4 linked regions of the Caenorhabditis elegans genome follow. The protein of the gene in region 1 purifies or fractionates together with the protein of each later gene. This does not show direct contact. Each region holds a gene or a part of one and is shown in the gene's direction. Other genes may lie near its edges.

The links.
Region 2: the proteins of ZK1320.9 (region 1) and atic-1 fractionate together in Caenorhabditis elegans (co-fractionation; one large-scale study listed by BioGRID). This does not show direct contact.
Region 3: the proteins of ZK1320.9 (region 1) and K01A2.5 fractionate together in Caenorhabditis elegans (co-fractionation; one large-scale study listed by BioGRID). This does not show direct contact.
Region 4: the proteins of ZK1320.9 (region 1) and T02H6.11 fractionate together in Caenorhabditis elegans (co-fractionation; one large-scale study listed by BioGRID). This does not show direct contact.

The regions. Positions count from the first base shown.
Region 1 is NC_003280.10:9,683,501-9,688,726, reverse strand, and holds ZK1320.9 (Acetyl-CoA hydrolase), read left to right. Parts: upstream 1-2,013; 5' UTR 2,014-2,015; coding exon 2,016-2,071; intron 2,072-2,121; coding exon 2,122-2,228; intron 2,229-2,281; coding exon 2,282-2,434; intron 2,435-2,480; coding exon 2,481-2,642; intron 2,643-2,751; coding exon 2,752-2,829; intron 2,830-2,873; coding exon 2,874-3,284; intron 3,285-3,987; coding exon 3,988-4,253; intron 4,254-4,301; coding exon 4,302-4,487; 3' UTR 4,488-4,639; downstream 4,640-5,226.
Region 2 is NC_003282.8:7,880,396-7,885,263, forward strand, and holds the start of atic-1 (Bifunctional purine biosynthesis protein ATIC), read left to right. Parts: upstream 1-1,632; 5' UTR 1,633-1,671; coding exon 1,672-1,693; intron 1,694-1,963; coding exon 1,964-2,211; intron 2,212-3,441; coding exon 3,442-3,553; intron 3,554-4,868. Other genes in the region: srt-73 (Serpentine Receptor, class T), read left to right, coding at 277-473, 525-639.
Region 3 is NC_003280.10:300,305-304,163, forward strand, and holds K01A2.5 (AB hydrolase-1 domain-containing protein), read left to right. Parts: upstream 1-2,100; 5' UTR 2,101-2,110; coding exon 2,111-2,392; intron 2,393-2,451; coding exon 2,452-2,605; intron 2,606-2,816; coding exon 2,817-2,928; intron 2,929-3,048; coding exon 3,049-3,298; 3' UTR 3,299-3,355; downstream 3,356-3,859. Other genes in the region: K01A2.6 (AMIN domain-containing protein), read left to right, coding at 362-463; col-69 (Nematode cuticle collagen N-terminal domain-containing protein), read right to left, coding at 3,620-3,792.
Region 4 is NC_003280.10:699,875-703,216, reverse strand, and holds T02H6.11 (Cytochrome b-c1 complex subunit 7), read left to right. Parts: upstream 1-2,091; 5' UTR 2,092-2,099; coding exon 2,100-2,309; intron 2,310-2,358; coding exon 2,359-2,436; intron 2,437-2,484; coding exon 2,485-2,589; 3' UTR 2,590-2,735; downstream 2,736-3,342. Other genes in the region: thoc-1 (Death domain-containing protein), read right to left, coding at 210-316, 369-447, 511-629, 683-801, 847-986, 1,032-1,102.

The DNA.
Region 1 (5,226 bases):
ATCCCATCTTCAAACTCTCACGATGGCTGAAGAAAAAAATTTTTTTTTTTAATTTTTCAATTTTTTTTAAAGTTTAGGTATTAATTTGCTTTGATGTGTCTAGATATTAAACAGCTATTTGATATTTTCATACATTCTTGTTGTCGCATGTTGATGATGCTCAATCTCAAAAAAGGCTAGGAAAAGTTATTTTTAAATTTGACCGTCGCTCACTTAAGAAACTTTAAAGTTAGAAGAAATAAAACATTACAAAATCAATAAACATGTTAAAAGCTACATTTCTTCAGTTAACCATTTTCATGTATCTCTTTTCGTTGCTGAGCTACGTTGTGTTTATGTACTCAGACGCTGTTAAAATTTCACTTCATATTATTCCAAACTCTAGCCTGTAGCTCAAATTTCAGTTGTCTAATAAAAATGCTGTCAACTGACAAAACATTTGTCGCACTATTTGGCACATTTGGTTTACTGCGAATAATGTCAAATGGTGTATTCTTGCAGACTTGCAGACATCTTGCAGACATGGGGGCCTGGAATACGAAAAGGGATCTAGATGTTATCTGCCAACTTTCAGAATGAACTGAAGCTTCTAGACCGCTTTTTTTGTGTATGAACTCTATAAAATTTTCAAAGAAAAAGCTATCCCATACGTTGAAAACAAAGTTGTTTTGTACTTTTCCGCTTCTTTATTTTTCCCACATTAATTTTGCACAAAATTCACTCTATAAGAAATTCATAAAAACAATAAACGTAAGGAGAATGCTATTCATTGATGATCCTGAATGGAATAGAATATCAAGCATCTTATCCAAAATTTTCTTAAAAGTTCAGAGCATAAGGTGTTCTACAAAAAATTTAAATGTTCCAATAGCCCCAAAAATAGCCGTTCGAGAAAAGTGATAGATAGACACTTTTCAGGATACTACAAAGTGGAAAATTGACGAGAAAATTTGGGAAACCGAGTTTAAATTGGTTCGAAATAGTCGTTTGGGTGAGCACTTCGGTGAGCAATAAAACAAATTGTTCACGAGAACCAAAATAGGATATTCTGAATATAAAGATCTCAGGATGTATACATTTCGGTAAGAAAAAGGATTTGGGGACTGTGAAAGTTAGGAAGGGATCCTAGGTGTTTCGATGTTTGAGCTGAACAATCACAAATTAACATTTCTGGTCAAAGACGAGTTTCCCGTGCGGTCTATACATTTTTTGTATTATTGAACAAAGGTATGTTTTCGGATGTTTTGCATGTAGGCAATTGCATAAATATTCGTTCAATATCCGAAAAATTCTGTAAATCTTGGTTCTTTATTATGCTTTCTAGTCCGTGTGACAGTACATATATCGTAACTTCACTAGATTTTTAAACTCCTTCTTAAGAAGTGTCCCAGCGCGCAAAAAAGTTTATGGTAGCTACCGTAAACTTTTTGCGCGCCAAGACCCATCTGAATAAATCCGTGCGCCTTTAAGAAGGAACGTCAAAATCTAGTGAAATCACGATACAAATTATATTTTCATTCCAATTGTCATTATTATTTTGAGTCAAAATTTAACTCTTCCGGGTTCCCGCAAAGTTCAAAAATCCAAAAATCAAACGCTTGACTACACTATTAGAGAGTGCATGAAATCGAGAGACACCGACATTCCATCGGGATATCGGAGTGTCGTTTGTTTGGAAACATTTTTTTTCGAAGCGATTTTTTGATTTTCGTGAACAATTTCTAGTTTTTGTAGGGTTTTCGAACTTTTTCTAGTTTTGTCAAAAGAAAAACTGATTCATTGATGTGTTATCAGTGATCTTAATTTGTTCTCTCATCTCCTCGTGATTCTATTTTTGAGAGAAATTTGAGAAAAATGTTTTGGAAGAACTGAAGGAGGTGGAGCACATAGAACATTGAAAAAGCATTCACATGTGAGGTTTCGATAGCTTTTCTTTTATCATTCACTGAGTTTTCTTTTTGATTTTTTCTCAATTCAATTGAAAAAATATTTTAATTGTTTCCATTTTTGCAGAAATGTCCTTGAAACTGGCCAAGCAACTATCTAAAAGTTCAGTTATTTCCCTCTCAAGGTTAGTGTTCTTCTACAAAAGTCGATAATTTTTTGAACTGTGATTTTCAGGCATTTCACAAATGGGCCTCGTCTACCAACAAAATTATTGCACGCAAAACCTGGATTCGTGCCAAAATATGTATCGGCAGATGAAGCCTTGGCGATGGTGAATTCAGGTTTGTATCCGAGAAATTAAAATTAAAAATCTCTAAAATTCAAATTATTTCAGATTCTGATATCTACGTTGGAAACCATGCGTCTGCTCCCAATGTTCTTCTCGAAGCACTTTGTCGTCGTGTTGATTCGGCAAATCTCAACAATATCCGAATGTCTCATCTAATTTTAAGCGGAAATTGCCCACAATTCGACCCTAAATATCACGGTGAGTCAATTTCAAGTATTTTAATTTTTAAATTTACTGCTTTCAGGAAAAATTCAAAACAACAGCCTGTTCATTTGCCCGGGAAATCGTAAAAATGTTAATTTGGGCGCCGCTGACTACACTCCGATTTTCCTCTCTGAAGTTCCCTCTTTATACACAAGTGGAACATTGAATGTTGATTTTGCACTGATTACTGTCTCTCCACCTGGTAAGAATTTAAATTTGATTAAAAGTCGCCATAAAAAAAAAAGCGAAAACAGGGTTTTGTGATTAACAACTTTATAAAAATTAAAAATTTGTTTTTTTTTCTATTTCAGATGAGCTCGGATTCTGTACACTTGGAGTCGACATTGACACAACACTGGCTGCAGCGACTAGTGCCAAAAAAATTATTGGTAAAAATAAATAATCAATAAGTTGCAAAAAAATATTTTTTCAGCCCTTGTCAACAGCACAATGCCCCGTACCCGAGGCCACACTACTGTCCATTCTTCTCATTTCGCTGCAATGGTTCAAACGGATCGACCAATCGCTTTCCGTCAGTCTGGTGGAGAAGAAATGTCTGAAACCGAACAAAGAATCGGAAAAATAATTGCCGAGAACCTTGTCGACAACGGAGCCACCCTTCAACTCGGCATCGGAGCAATTCCAGACTCGGCGTTGGCAGCGATGAAGCAGCACAAAGATCTTGGAGTTCACACGGAAATGTTTAGTGATGGAGTTATTGATTTGATTGATCGTGGAATTATTAATAATCAAAAGAAGGCTTTTATGCCAGGAAAAACTGTTTCCTCGTTTGCTTTTGGAACAAAGGAATTTTATAAGAAAATCGATAATAATCCAGAGTTTTGTAAGTTTTTATTTTACCAATTGTAAAAGTGATTTTAATTTTTTTAAAAATAACTTTAGAACTGTGCAAGGATACCACAGATATCCGTTTTTGCTGTTAAAATTAATTCAACGATTTTTTAAAATTTTTTAGATATTTTTTGTTGGTTTTATGAGCGAAACAGAAAAATCGGAAAAATACAAAAATTTTGTAAAAACGAAAAAAATTCCAAAATTCAAAAATGTCCCGATGAGGGAAAAACGAAATCTCGAAAATTTGGAAAATTCCGATTTTTCGAATTTTTTAAAAATGGAAAAATCGAAAAAAAAATGTTCAGAAAATTAACCATAAAATATGATTTTTATCTAATTTTGTTTTTTATTGATAATAAATAAATAAATAAATTGATTCTAAAAAGAAAAACAATGACCAAAATTTTAAGCTAATTTTTGAAAAATCGAATTTTATAATACAAATTTTTAAAAATTGAAAAACGAAAAGCCTTCGATTTTTCTTTTTAAAAACCGCCACCCTTGGTCCCAATTATGTGTTCATCAGAACCGTTACAGAGAAAATTGTTTTTTTAATCAGAAAAATTTTTAAAAAATTAATTTTCAATTTGGATCAAGAAATATATCAAAAAAAAATTGTAACTACAGAAACCCAAAAAAAAAAAAATTCGATTTTTTCCATCTTCCAACTAAAAACCCAATCATACTTTCAGATTTTGCCCCATGCGACTTCACCAATCATATCGACATCGTCCGCCGTAACAGTAAAATGACATCAATCAACTCAGCGATTGAAATCGATTTGACGGGACAAATCGTATCGGATTCGATTGGACGCAATTTTTTCAGTGGATTCGGTGGACAAGTCGACTTTATGGCTGCCAGTCCACACGGATTTGATGGACTTGGAAAGGCGATTATTGCATTACCATCGAGAACCACTAAGGGACAAACGAAAATTGTTCCATTCTTGACACAGGTTAGTTATAAACGGAAGCTATATTGAAGGTTAAAGTTCAATTTTCAGGGTTCTGGAGTGGTCACGACACGTGCACATGCCAGATACATCGTTACCGAGCATGGCATCGCCAATCTATGGGGAAAATCAATTCGTCAAAGAGCCTATGAGTTGATTCAAATCTCTCATCCGGATGATCGTGAAGCTCTCGAAAAGGCTGCATTTGATCGATTCAAAGTGATGCCATCTGCGTGAGAAGCGAATCAATTGCAGCTCCCTCAACTACTGGGTATAATGGTTACCGAGTGCCCGATTAAATCTAGTTTTCATTTCTTTGTATTATACGGTTCGACTTCTGATGTGTTTTCTTATTGCACATAGGTTAAATTATAAAAATGTTATTTTTGAAACTTCACACTACAATAATTTATTTGGAGGTTATCTGAACATTTTGAAGGAGAGTCGGGCGAGTGTGGAATCTACAATTATAAAACATGGATGTAATGAAAGCATACAGGAAAAGAATCATGAAGAAATATCAGAGGCAATTCTAAAGTTGACAAAAAAAAAGAGAGATGGAAGTGATCAAGTGGGAACAGTACACATGTGAAGATGGGGAGTGGTGGGACAAACACAATTAACCGATCACGATCACGTACAATTTTCAAATCACTTGTTCATCGATGTGGCTATCCGTGGTGGATGTTCGGATCGGAGCCCTGAAACCCAACACAATTTAAGAGGATTTTAGTGCTAATAGCATAGTAAGAATTACTCGACTACATAAAACGTTATAGTTAAAAACGGTATCTTACCGAATGTTGTGCATTTGGATAGGCTTGAATGATCAATGGTGGAGCAACTCCCGAAGATGGTGGAACTTGACTTGCTCTCTTGGACTCATGATCGATTCCACATTTAAACATATCGAAAAGCTCTTTCTGGGTTCCACCAATCGCCTCATAGGCAACTTTCCACAAATTGGAGGTTGAAT
Region 2 (4,868 bases), on another chromosome or scaffold:
GTTTCAAAGAAAATTGAAGAAAAAAACTTATCGAAAACTGTTTCTACAGTATTTCATGCAAAAAACTTTCAAGTACAATATCATCTACAGCTACCCCATGATTTTCGAATTAAATTTTCAATTCGTCAAATCTCAAAACGTTTTAGGTATATGAAAAAAATTTCACAGTAGTCGCAAACAAAGGGCAGATATTTGTATTAAGAATGTTTTGAAACTTTTCATTTCCCTTCAGAAGAGCTAATGTTTCATTATTTTTCAACATTTGTTGATTTTCAGAAAGCAGCATTATTGTCAAAGAAAGAATTAATATTGACAATTCAAGTATTATGTGTTTCTATATTTCATGTTATTGGGTATTTGACATGGGAATATCTACCAATTCCATGGGAATTACCAATTGGAGTGTTCATTGGACATGTTGTATGGATGATTTGGAATTCAATCAATTCAATGCTTTATGTATTAATTAATCCGTAAGTTTTAGAACTTTGGTTGACTGAAAACATTTTTAAAAAAAGTTGCAGTCGTATTCGTAACCTGGTATTAGCATCAATTGGAAAACAAACAGAAGTCAGTGGACGTACAATGTTTGTTGCTTCGCACGTATCAACAGTTCGACAATCCGGAGCTAAAATGTAGTCAGGTCTTCAAATAAAATATAACTTTTAGTTTTTAGAATTTAAGAAATAGAAAGATATCATTAGAAAAAATAATTATGTCTAGAAATAAAAACAATTTATTTCTTGTCATCGATTTCCAAACATTTATTTATAGGTCCATGAAATCTAGACACAGAAATCTTTTTACATGAAGCCTAATTTACTGCTAACAACTGAAATGAGAGGAAACAGATCCTCTCGATATTTTCAATTTTAAGGAATATTCTGCAAGTATAGGTGGACAGAGTAAAAAAGCTTTTGTCAAAGTAAAACATTGATAAACTGATAACACACAGAAACAAATAAAAACCGTCGTAAAACAGAGACACCATCACTTCATAATAAAAATGTTTGTGTTTTGTTATCAAGGGAAACTACCGATTGAATTTTTTTTTGAAATTTTGAAGATTTTCTGGCAAATCGAGAAAAAAAAATTAATGTACGTATATCTCCAATTCGAAGCTTTGATTTTATTATAAGAACAGAGAAACATTAGATTTTTATTGGTTTTTGAAACACCAACACAGATTTCAAAGTTATATAATATTTGCGATATTTAAAATCGATTTCAAAGTTCTTTTTATTTTCTACTTCTGATTTTTTTTCGATTATTAATTCTTTCATCTACAAGCAATAAAAACACAATAATATTTGCCTCGTTATCAAATTTATCTTATCAATTGAAAAATTGAGCAACACTGTTCAATTTGACCAGTCTAAAAGACATTTTTCATTGAAAAAGTTGCCAATTTCTGAGTGTATTTTTCCAAAAATGTTCAAGATTTCAAAGTTCACAAAATAATACTTATAAATGCATAAACTCATGCTCTCCTCATCCATCGTTTTCCTGTGATTATCTCAAAAGTTTCTATTTTTAGTGTTTTTTGGTTCCTTGTTCATTTTTTATTTTGTGTGATTTTTACGTCTCGAATAAAAAATATTAAACAAAATGTTAGAAATTGAATTTTACAAGACTATCGACTTGATACAATACATCGACGAATTGTGTGAAATGACCGACGGAAAATCACTTGGTAAGTAATTTCATTTTGAATTTTTTTAAATTAATTTTTCAAGCAATCCCGGAATAAATATAATTCATTTCTATTCTTTAAAATTATTTATTGAACTAGACATTCCACCAGGTCGAGGCGTTACGGGGGCACCTCTTCCCCGCCTCTAACCTCACCCACCTCGCTCCTTGATTTGGAAAACCCTTTTTTGTGTATTTAACAAATGAAAACTACTACAATAATGAACTAAAATAAACTGCAAGTATAAAGCTAAACATTTTTAATTTTCAGCCATTATATCGGTCTCTGACAAGACAGGACTTATTCCTCTTGCTCATGGACTTGTATCTGCTGGCTTAACACTTATTGCGTCCGGTGGAACAGCGAAAGCGATCAGAGATCAAGGAATTGATGTTCATGATGTGGCAGATGTAACAAAGTTTCCTGAGATGCTTGGTGGAAGAGTTAAAACTCTGCATCCTGCCGTTCATGGAGGAATCTTGGCAAGAGATACGGAAAGTGATCGAAAGGATCTAGAGGTGAGATAGCTTATTTTCTTTTTTTTTTGAATTTTTTTTATTTGTAAACTAACTTGTTTGTTGTCGAACCGTTTTCAACTGAAACTTGCAAATTATATTAAGTGGAAATAAATAAATTTGCAACATTTGTGCAAAACAATTCTGACAAAAGATCGGATTTTGTAGAACTTCCGGGAATCTCACAAAATGAACTTTGTACTGGCTTGAAAGATTTCACCATTACTTAGTTTAATCGAATTCATGATTGAATAGAATGAAGTGAAGAAAAAAAACCAAAAAAAGAAGGGCTAACGGGTGACAAAAAGTTGGTCCTTTCGTCAGATGAAGAAGGCTTATCTCGTGAAAATAAAGAGTTGAGAAGGAGACAAAAAGAAGATTAGAAGACAATTTTTCGTCCTCTTTTTCTTCATTTTGTCGTCACGACTTCATTCAAATTTCAATTCTTATTTCGAATTATATAATTTTTTTTTAAATAAACATTATATCTCGCTTTTGTTTAAAAAAAAAGTTAGTCTAATCTGAAACTTTGACAATTGTTTGTTAATTTTTTGAAGTTGGATTACAATTTTTTGGAAAACGGGTTAGAGAGTTTTTTCGGATTTTTTTGAATCAATTTTTTGTTACTTGCGCATTTCGCAACCTATGTCTTGCCTCTTGTTGGGATTAAAGTGCCAGCCCTGATGGCTAGAACACTTTGAGACAAAGTTGAGATATGTCACCTTTAAAATTAAATTATTAATTAGAAACCGAAAAAAAATTTCATAAAGTTAGCGTTCAGTTGAACGGAGAACGGCAAAATATTAGTCAAAAAACTTTGTTTGCCGGAAAATTGTATTACAGTCATATTGCATTTCAGGATAAACATTGAATCTCTGAGATAATCAAAAAATAATACTCCAGGAACATTATATTATTTGAAATTCTATTGTGTATTTTTAGAAATATTTTATCAATTCAGAGTGAAAATAAGATTTTTGTGAGATAATCTGTAAACCTTCAACTTTCGTCATCAACCATAGAGTAAAATTAAACTTGGAACATCCATAAAAATTGGCGTAAAAATCAACGAACACAACTGATTGGGGTGTTGTTATGATGCACCGAGAGCAAGCCTACGTGTCAGTTTCTACCGCCCGTGTCTATTCAATTACCTTCTCTTTCTATTTTCAATTGAATTTGTTTCATCTTCTTTTCCTTCCTTGTATTTTTTGGTTATTTTCTTTCTTCCAGAAACACAACATTTCATTCGTCTCAGTGGTGGTTTGCAACTTGTATCCATTCAAAAAAACTGTTCAATCCAAGGATTGCTCTGTAGAAGAAGCTGTTGAGAACATTGACATTGGTTCGTTTATTTCTTTCTTTTTTTGAGTTTATTCATCCGGAAAATTGACTTTGTTTTATGTTGCCATCTTTCTTTTTCCCCTTGTTCCTTTTGATTTCAATTTATGCACTTGACTTATTTTGCTCCTTTCGTGACTTCTAACCCTAAACCAAACATCAACATTTTTTCACAGGAACAGCTTAAATTGAAATCAGAAAATCATTTTAGCAGAACTTCATAACCAAAACATACGGCCTAGATTAAAAAGTTGAATTTTTTCAAATTTAAAGTGTTCATCCTGTTTTTAAATAAGTTACCAAATATTATAGTTCATTGGAATAGCATATAATTTTAAGGGGTGTAATTCTACTTCAAGCTAATAATTCAATCAAGTTAAAACGGATGTTCGTCAATGAAATAGACCATTCTTGCATTTTCAAAGACTTACAATGTTCAATTGAAAATAATTTAAACATTATCAAAATATATTTTTTGTATAAAAAATAATATTTCGGTCGCCTTCCATTATTATGATAGGGGGAAAATTGTCACTTTTGGATGAAAATAAAAATTCAAGATTTTTGATAAGTTTTACTATGTTATGTAATTCGTCATTTTAGCATTAGTGAATGATTTAATAATTGGCAATATTATCACATACAATACTATGATCAAGTAGTTTTATTTGAGCTAATTGAAATATCAATTTCGTGAAATTGGGCACGTTCAGGTTCTGAAAAATCGTTCTCTACTTATCACTGTGAAAACATGTATGTATTGTTCTTCTCCCTTCCTAAATCCTTTCTGACACCAAAACAATTATATTTTCTTCTTGTTCGTCTTTTTTAGTTCCTCAAAATATAAATTCAATTAACACGGAAGCTGGAGAATTCACAAAAAAAGACAATACAACCAACAAAAAACTGAGAAAATAATAATTCGTTTACACTTTCATTCTATACTTCCTCTCAATAAGTTCATATAATCTGTGATCATCTTCAGAAAATTCTTTCAGAAACATTTAAAGGAGCAAATCTTACGAATGCATCATTTCGTAAAGCTTGAGCTCTAGTTTTTGGTATCATTGAAATTTCCATATTATAACTTCTAATCGAATGGTTTTTTTAATATTAAAAAAAGGATAAGGTTATAGACATTTTATGATCTTAGCACAAAGTACAAAAAAGTGGAAATATTCGTTCAATTGTACCCATTGTATTTGTTTTTCCAACCGTTTCCTACATTTTTATCCCATTAAAAGGGCTTTTGTTTCATGAATCTTTCACCTTTTTTCCTGTTTTTCCGGGTATGTAAAACCCGCCCAGATTTTTTCTAG
Region 3 (3,859 bases), 9.4 Mb from region 1:
ATCAAAGTTTAAAGAGATTTCAATTTACACAGTAAGAGCTTCGAGGCGAAGCCTCAAACCTGAATAGTCAAGTTTTCTAAACATATACCCCACTCCTGAAATAATTTCAAAGAGATCTCGAATAACCCGTTAACAGGTTCGAGGCAAAGCCGAGAACCTGCGCCAGCTACCTTGCTAATAACTTAGAGCGAATTAACCCTATCCCCATTCCCGAAGGGCTGGCGGGCCCATAGGCCCGCTAGTCACCTAAAATGATGATATCGGGTGGCAGGCATATATGGATTTTTTAACCGACCAGTTAAAAACTGATATTTTAAAAAGGTGATGCTAAAAAAATTGTTCAATCAATCCAATCTTCCAGGGAACAGCGCAACAACTACCTGTATTTCATGATCAAAACTTTGATAGAGTCCCTGTGCAAGTTGTCAACCGGCAGGACCCCAATGAACACTGCGACACATAGTACCCTGCGACAGTATATAGAAGAATCCTAAGACGAGCTAGAGTATTCAGAGATCGACAAGGACAGCTCACGGATCAATGGGAGCCGCTTGGAGATCCAGTGGAAGTGGAGTCTTGGACATTGACACGGAAACAAGGGAATACTGGAAAATGAGAAAATCGTCTTCAAGTTTTTCTCTAATATTGTAATTTTCAAGTTTTATTGATTAAATTTGGTTCATAAAAATTTATTTGTGTTCGACAACATGGGTGAAGCCGCATTGTTCCAGATGTGTAAAACTGTGTTGTCCTAAAAGATCAAAGACCCAAGCTTGACAAATCTGAAAAAAATGCTTTCAGCACTCCCCGCAAAATCACATGATTCGATCATCAATTTCCTCTTTGCGGTTTTATACAATACCTTCAGACAATAGGAACAATTTTCTGTCTCTTCCATATCCCTTTTCCCTTTCATTTCCCATTTATTTCCCTCTGTGTGTCCAAGTGCCTGTGTTCTTCTCCTTCTTCTTTCATCTTAACAACATCTTCCTCCGACTGCGTTTGTACACTTTCACCTGTTATTCCCTATTTACCCTCATATCCTAGATTGAAATCTGCATACTCTCCCAGTATAAATCAAAAGGTTTACTTTACTGTTTCATAGTTCCTTTTTATTAGAAACTACACATTTATATTACAAATAACTAGATGTTTCGGTGTTTTAGTGGTTATGTTTTTTTTAATAATTTTTATTACCTTTCTAGAATCTTCCAAAATTTTCTCGAATTATTCTGAAGGTTCCAGAACCTTCCAAAATTTTCTCGTATTTTCCAGATAGTTCTAGAACATTCCGGAATTCTATCTAATTTTTCAGAAGGTTTTAGAACATTCCAAAACTTTCTCGTATTTTCCAGATGGTTCTAGAACTTTCCGCAGCTTACAGGCACAAAATTAATCCGGTCTTGTCCAAATTCCTTCTGAAATCTTAATCTGTAGGCTACAAATTTCTCATTCCTATCGGACTTTCAAAATCTTTTTCGTAGAACTATTCGTCATTCAAATACATGCACTTTTAAAATTTCCTCTTTGGTTTTCCTTCCTCTTTAGCCTATTTCACCGAATTTTTGAGATCAATAATTCCATGTGTCCGATTTTCGAATAATTTAATATTCACTATCAGTTTTCACGTATCATAATTCTGGAAGTCGATCAAAAAACAATGTTTTGTACTCTACATTTCTGTATTTAAATATTGTAGAGGTTCACAATACATGTTCTCGCTCTTCAGAAAATTCCGAATTCTATAAATGTCGCGGAACCATAATTATTTGGCCTAAACCGATTTCAAATACCTATGTTAATTCTAGGTCAATCCGGTGGTTGTAAATCATCGACAATAACAATATATACGACCTACTGTACTAGTAGGTTGTAAATACTGTAGTACTACCACACCACAAGAGGCGTTCTCTTAGCAATACATTTGAACCTTGACCCTTGTTACGTCTCTTTCTAGGATAGAAGAAATCGGGGAGATGTACTTCAAAGGTGTGCGGTCTCAAAGGTCACAAAGGTGTCTCAAACATTTATATTATCCGGAAAATTTCCTCACCGTCGCTACCTCATAATTAACAAATTAAACACCTAAATAAATTTCAGCAAAAGAAAAATGACTCAAAGCGACTATATCGAAAGTTCGGAACACATCAAGGACACTCAAATCGGTTACTGTAAATACGGCCACGGTCCGAACTACATTCTCGCGATTTGCGGTGCTGTCGGCTGCTATAAAAAAGATTGGCCACTCAAATTGCTCTCTCATTTCCCACCAGATCAGGTCACAATTGTTGGGATTGATCCTCCAGGTTACGGTACCTCAAGACCTCCAGAGCGAAAACAAGAAGTTCAGAGATGTATGAAGGATAGTGAATATTGCCTAGGGTTAATGGAGGTGAGCTTTTAATTTTGAAATTAAAATTTTTACGTTTTCAAAAAGCCTCCAAATTTTAGACCCTGAAACTAGAGCCGTTCACCGTGATGGGGTGGTCAGAAGGTGCTAGAACAACGGTCCACGTGGCAGCTAAAGGAAAGGAAAAAGTGAATCGAATGATTGTAATGGCTGGTGCAACAAAAGTTAATCATCTAGGAGCCATGGCTTTCAAGGGTGAGATATTTAGATATATTTGGAAGATTACTGTTTTTTAATGAAATTTCTTAATTTGACACCAATATGGCCCATTTTTCCACATAGAAGCAGCAATTTATGCCTACCTACCTACAAGATTTTTTATGGGAAAATAAATCGAACGTCCATTTTATGGGTGTGGCCATCTATTGGTTTTGTGCTCTTTATAAATTAATTTTTGGAATTTCAGGAATGCGTGAAACAAATCATTGGCTAGCAGCCGGTCGTCAACCATATTTGGACCATTATTCGCCGGAAACACTCCGGACACAATGGGCGGCACTTTGTGACGTCGTAGATCAGTGAGTTTTGTGGGCGGGGCTTATGCGAAGTTGTGTATATTCCTGTAGGCACAAATATGTCTGCCAACTACCTTCAAGGCGACCTACGTCTGCTTCCTACCTAACCAAACGAATTTTCAGAGTTCACTCGTTCTGCGGTGGCCGTTTCCCGTGTGACCTGGTACTTCCACAAGTCAAATGCCCGACACTAGTGATGAATGGTGGATTGGACCGGTTCTGTGGTGACCCGAATGTATGCTTCATCCCAGTGCTCAAGAGTTTGGCAAAAGTTGAGATTCATGCACAAGGAGGACACGATTTTTATTTGAAATATCCCAAATGGTTTTCCGGAAAGGTTCTGGAATTCTTGAAGAGCACGGAGAAGAAATGATAAATATATGAAATTTGTATTTTGTATTTTGTGAAGAATAAAGTTTATAAAAAATTCGTCCTGGTCTCAAGCAATTTCGCTATTACACTCATAAGCTCCACCCACAAAATGACTGATTTCATTAGGAATTTTGCCAAAAGAAAATTTCAGAAAAAATTCTAAAATTTCCAGAAAAAAAATCTTCCCGTTCACAAAGGGTTTCTGTCCGAGCCTTGTGGGCGGGGCCCATGCGAAGCCCAATTAAAATTTTTGGGACAGTATACTTTCTGGAAACGTCCGTGAAAAAGTTTATACAAATTTATTTCACAAAAATAAAAATAATTACGGACTAGCGTGACTAACAGGCTTCCGGCGAACATTCTTTGCTCTTGTCGCCAAAAGTAGTCGTCTCTGCTTCTTGAGCACTCGAGCCAGCACTCGTTTCCTGTACTCATCCTCTTTATTGTACTCTGACACGTAACGGCTTTGGGATGCTGTGGCGTAGCTTGTGGACACTGTAAAAAATATGTTGAAATTTGAAATTTGAGTTTTTTTAGGCCGTAATATCAGCCCCGCCTACTT
Region 4 (3,342 bases), 9.0 Mb from region 1:
TTTGTAGTCTAGCAGACCCATTCTCTACAACACCACATGGGTCTGCTAAATCGAAACTTGTAGTTTGTAGTCTAGCAGACCCATTCTCTTCAAAACCACATGGGTCTGCTAAATCGAAATTTGTAGTTTGTAGTCTAGCAGACCCAAAAAATTCAGGTAAATGATATTTTTCAGTGGAAATTTCTCGCTTTTTTCCGATTTTTCCGTACTTTGAGTTATCCTCTTCGATTTCTCCAGTTTCCATATCCTCTGCTCCTTCCGTAGGTGTTGGAGCCGATGACGTGGCAGCGAGAAGAGCTTCACCGTCGGTTTCAGACTGAAATTTTGCGATTTTTTGCGATTTTTCAGTCCAAAAACCGAAAAAATACCTCGTCGTAGTTGGTAACGTTAAGCGTGTTGAAGTGTCCCATAAAGTTTACACCGGATTTTTCGGTTAGCGGGAGGAATCTGGAAAAAATTGAGTTTTTCGCAGGAAATTTTGGGATTTTTCGAAAATGTTTCGCTTTTTACCTCGAGAGAAAGAACATAATTCTTCCGCAGAACGATGTTTCAGCGGTTCTACTCAAGCGGCGGAGCAAATCGTTGCAGAAGCGTAGAATATTGTTCTGGGCGGTTTCAATGAAGCCGGGCTGCAAAAAATCCGCTTTTTATCGGGAAAATTCTTTGAAAACCGGCTTTTTACCTGCTTAAACTCGTTCATATTCTCTTCTACTATGCTGAAAATCTGCTTACACTCCTCAATTGAGCTCATCTCCAAGAGGTCCTGTAGAGTGCTCAGGGGAGTGTTTTTGGAGCACAAACCTGCAAAAAACTCATTTTTAAACGAAATTTCGAGAAAATAATTACCAAGCTTGGAGCAATTCATCACAAAATGAAAATGCCGCCTTGCAAGCTCTTCCTTGGTGGCTGAAGGCTGCTCGGCGACCTTGAATCCCCGCTTTTTCAGAAACCCGTCGACTTTTAGAAGCACAAATTCGTCGTCTTTCCTGTAAAATTGCATTATTTATCTGATAATTCTTTTAAAAACTCACGCAGTCTTTTTTTCCGCCTTCACAACCTCCTTTAACCCGTCCAAATCCCGATTTTCGATAACTGTCTCCATTTTTTGACCTAAAACATTAAAATTGACGGGTGAAAGTTGAGAGATTAACGACTAAAATTTTTTATTTGTTTATTTTCGCAATTTTAAAATAGAAAATCAATAGAAATCGGTTCAATTTAATGAAAAAATTAATTAATTCGAAAAAAAAATTATCGAAAAAAAATCACTTGCAACGAAGCTCCGAAATAACGAGGCGCGTGTTGTTTACCGTAAATCAAACTTCAGCCAATTTTCTTATTTTTTTTTCACAAAATACTCATCCGGCAACGTTTCTGGTGAAAAATCTGAATTCATCAAGTTCTAAGGAGTATTTTAACATAGTAAACTTTGAAAAAACATATTATCTATCTGCTACATGGCGTTAGTTAAAAATAAAATACTTCAATTTCCCTTTAATCGATTCCTATGAAATTTTTCTTTAGTTTATTAGAAAAAACCATCATAAAATGTGTATTTTAACTTCAAAAAATTAGGTTCTCAATGCTTGAAAGCTTGAGAAAATTAATTTCCAAAAATTTGTTCACAACGATGCTCCGAAATAACACCCTGCGTGTTGTTTAGCGACACCGCCGAATTCATAATTTTCCTTTTCATTCGGTTTTCTTTGATTTTTAGCTGGAAATTCCGATTTTTTTTGCATTTTAAGCACAAAAATCAGCTTTATGAGGTTTTCTGACAGTTTTAATGCGTAAATTTGTAAAATAACTCGAGAAATCGCTTGGAATCTGATTTTTGAGAATTTTTTGCATTATCTTTGTTTTTGCCGGATTTTTAAGAGTTTTCAATGATAATTGTGCATTTTTGCCTAATTTTTTGCTTGTTATAAGTGACTTTATGTAAAAAATCTCAAGAAAATCATTTAAAATCCGAGAAATTGAGCTAAAAATCGATATTTCCCGAAAAACATGTGAAAACTTGTATTTTTTCAGTTTTTCTTCAGCTTTTCCCCAGAATTCCCCACTAATTTTCTTTTATTTTTTTCTTTTCAGGTAACGAAATGGCCAGTCAAGCCGCCTCAAAAGCCGTCACCTTCGCCTACAACGGCACGATCGCCAGCACGCTTCGCAAGTTCGCATGGAGCAACTTGTGGGGAGGACGCGAGTACGGGCTCCAATTCCACGACACCTACTTTGAGCCGGCTCCAGAAGTCACCGAGGCTCTCAGACGCCTTAATCTCCAGGAGCCACACGTTTTCGATCAGAGAAAGGTGAGAAAATCGATTAAAAATTGGAATTTTCAATCTTTTTTTACTTCAGATCCGTCTTTCACGTGCCCACACTTTGGCTCTCCACGGCGAGAAGCTTCCAAAGGCTGAATGGACTCAATGGGATCAGGTAGCTTTTCACTCGAAATTCAACTTTAAAAAATCTATTTTTCTTCAGGAATCGTGGTACTTGAAGCCATATTTGGACGAGATCGAGGCAGAGAAGAAGGCTCGCGCCGAGACATCCGGACTCATTCCACCATACCAAATGAAGCAACATTAGATTCTTCGAATTCTTCAAAATTATAATTTTCCGCGCCCTTTTTTTTCGTCTTTTTCTGTTAAATCACCTCTCTCAACCACGTTTTTCTCGGCATTCTAGCGGGAAAATCGTGTGAATTTTGAAATTGTGAGTAAATTTTGAGTTAGAAATTCGATTTTTTTTTGTTGTTTCACAGTCAAATCAAACGCGAATTTTTTCAGAATTTCAGACAAATCAGATGATTCAAGTGTCTGCTAGGCTACAAACTACAAATTTCGATTTAGCAGACCCAAGTGATTTTGAAGAGAATGGGTCTGCTAGGCTACAAACTACAAATTTCGATTTAGCAGACCAATGGGTTTTTTAATTGAAAAACTTGGATTTTTTGCGTTTTCAGACGGTTTTCTCACTGAAAATTAACTCCTTAGCCTGGAAAATCTCGATTTAAAGCAATTTTTACAAAATTTTCACTTCTAATCTCCAAATATTCCTCATTTTTAAAAAATATTTTTCAGAGAAATCCAAGTGACTCCAGAGATGTATTGAAAATTGGTCTGCTAGACTACAAACTACAAACTTCGAAACTTCAAATCGTGACATTTTATTCGATAACCAGCCGATGACCGCGCCTCCGGCGCGGCCAACGACTGGCGGAGTTTAAAATGTATAACAAATAGATGTCCTTTTAATCATTCAAAAATGTCTCATTAAAAAAAATTGAAACTTCATCGATTAAATCGCATTTTCTCCTTCCATGGTATACTATTCAGAAAA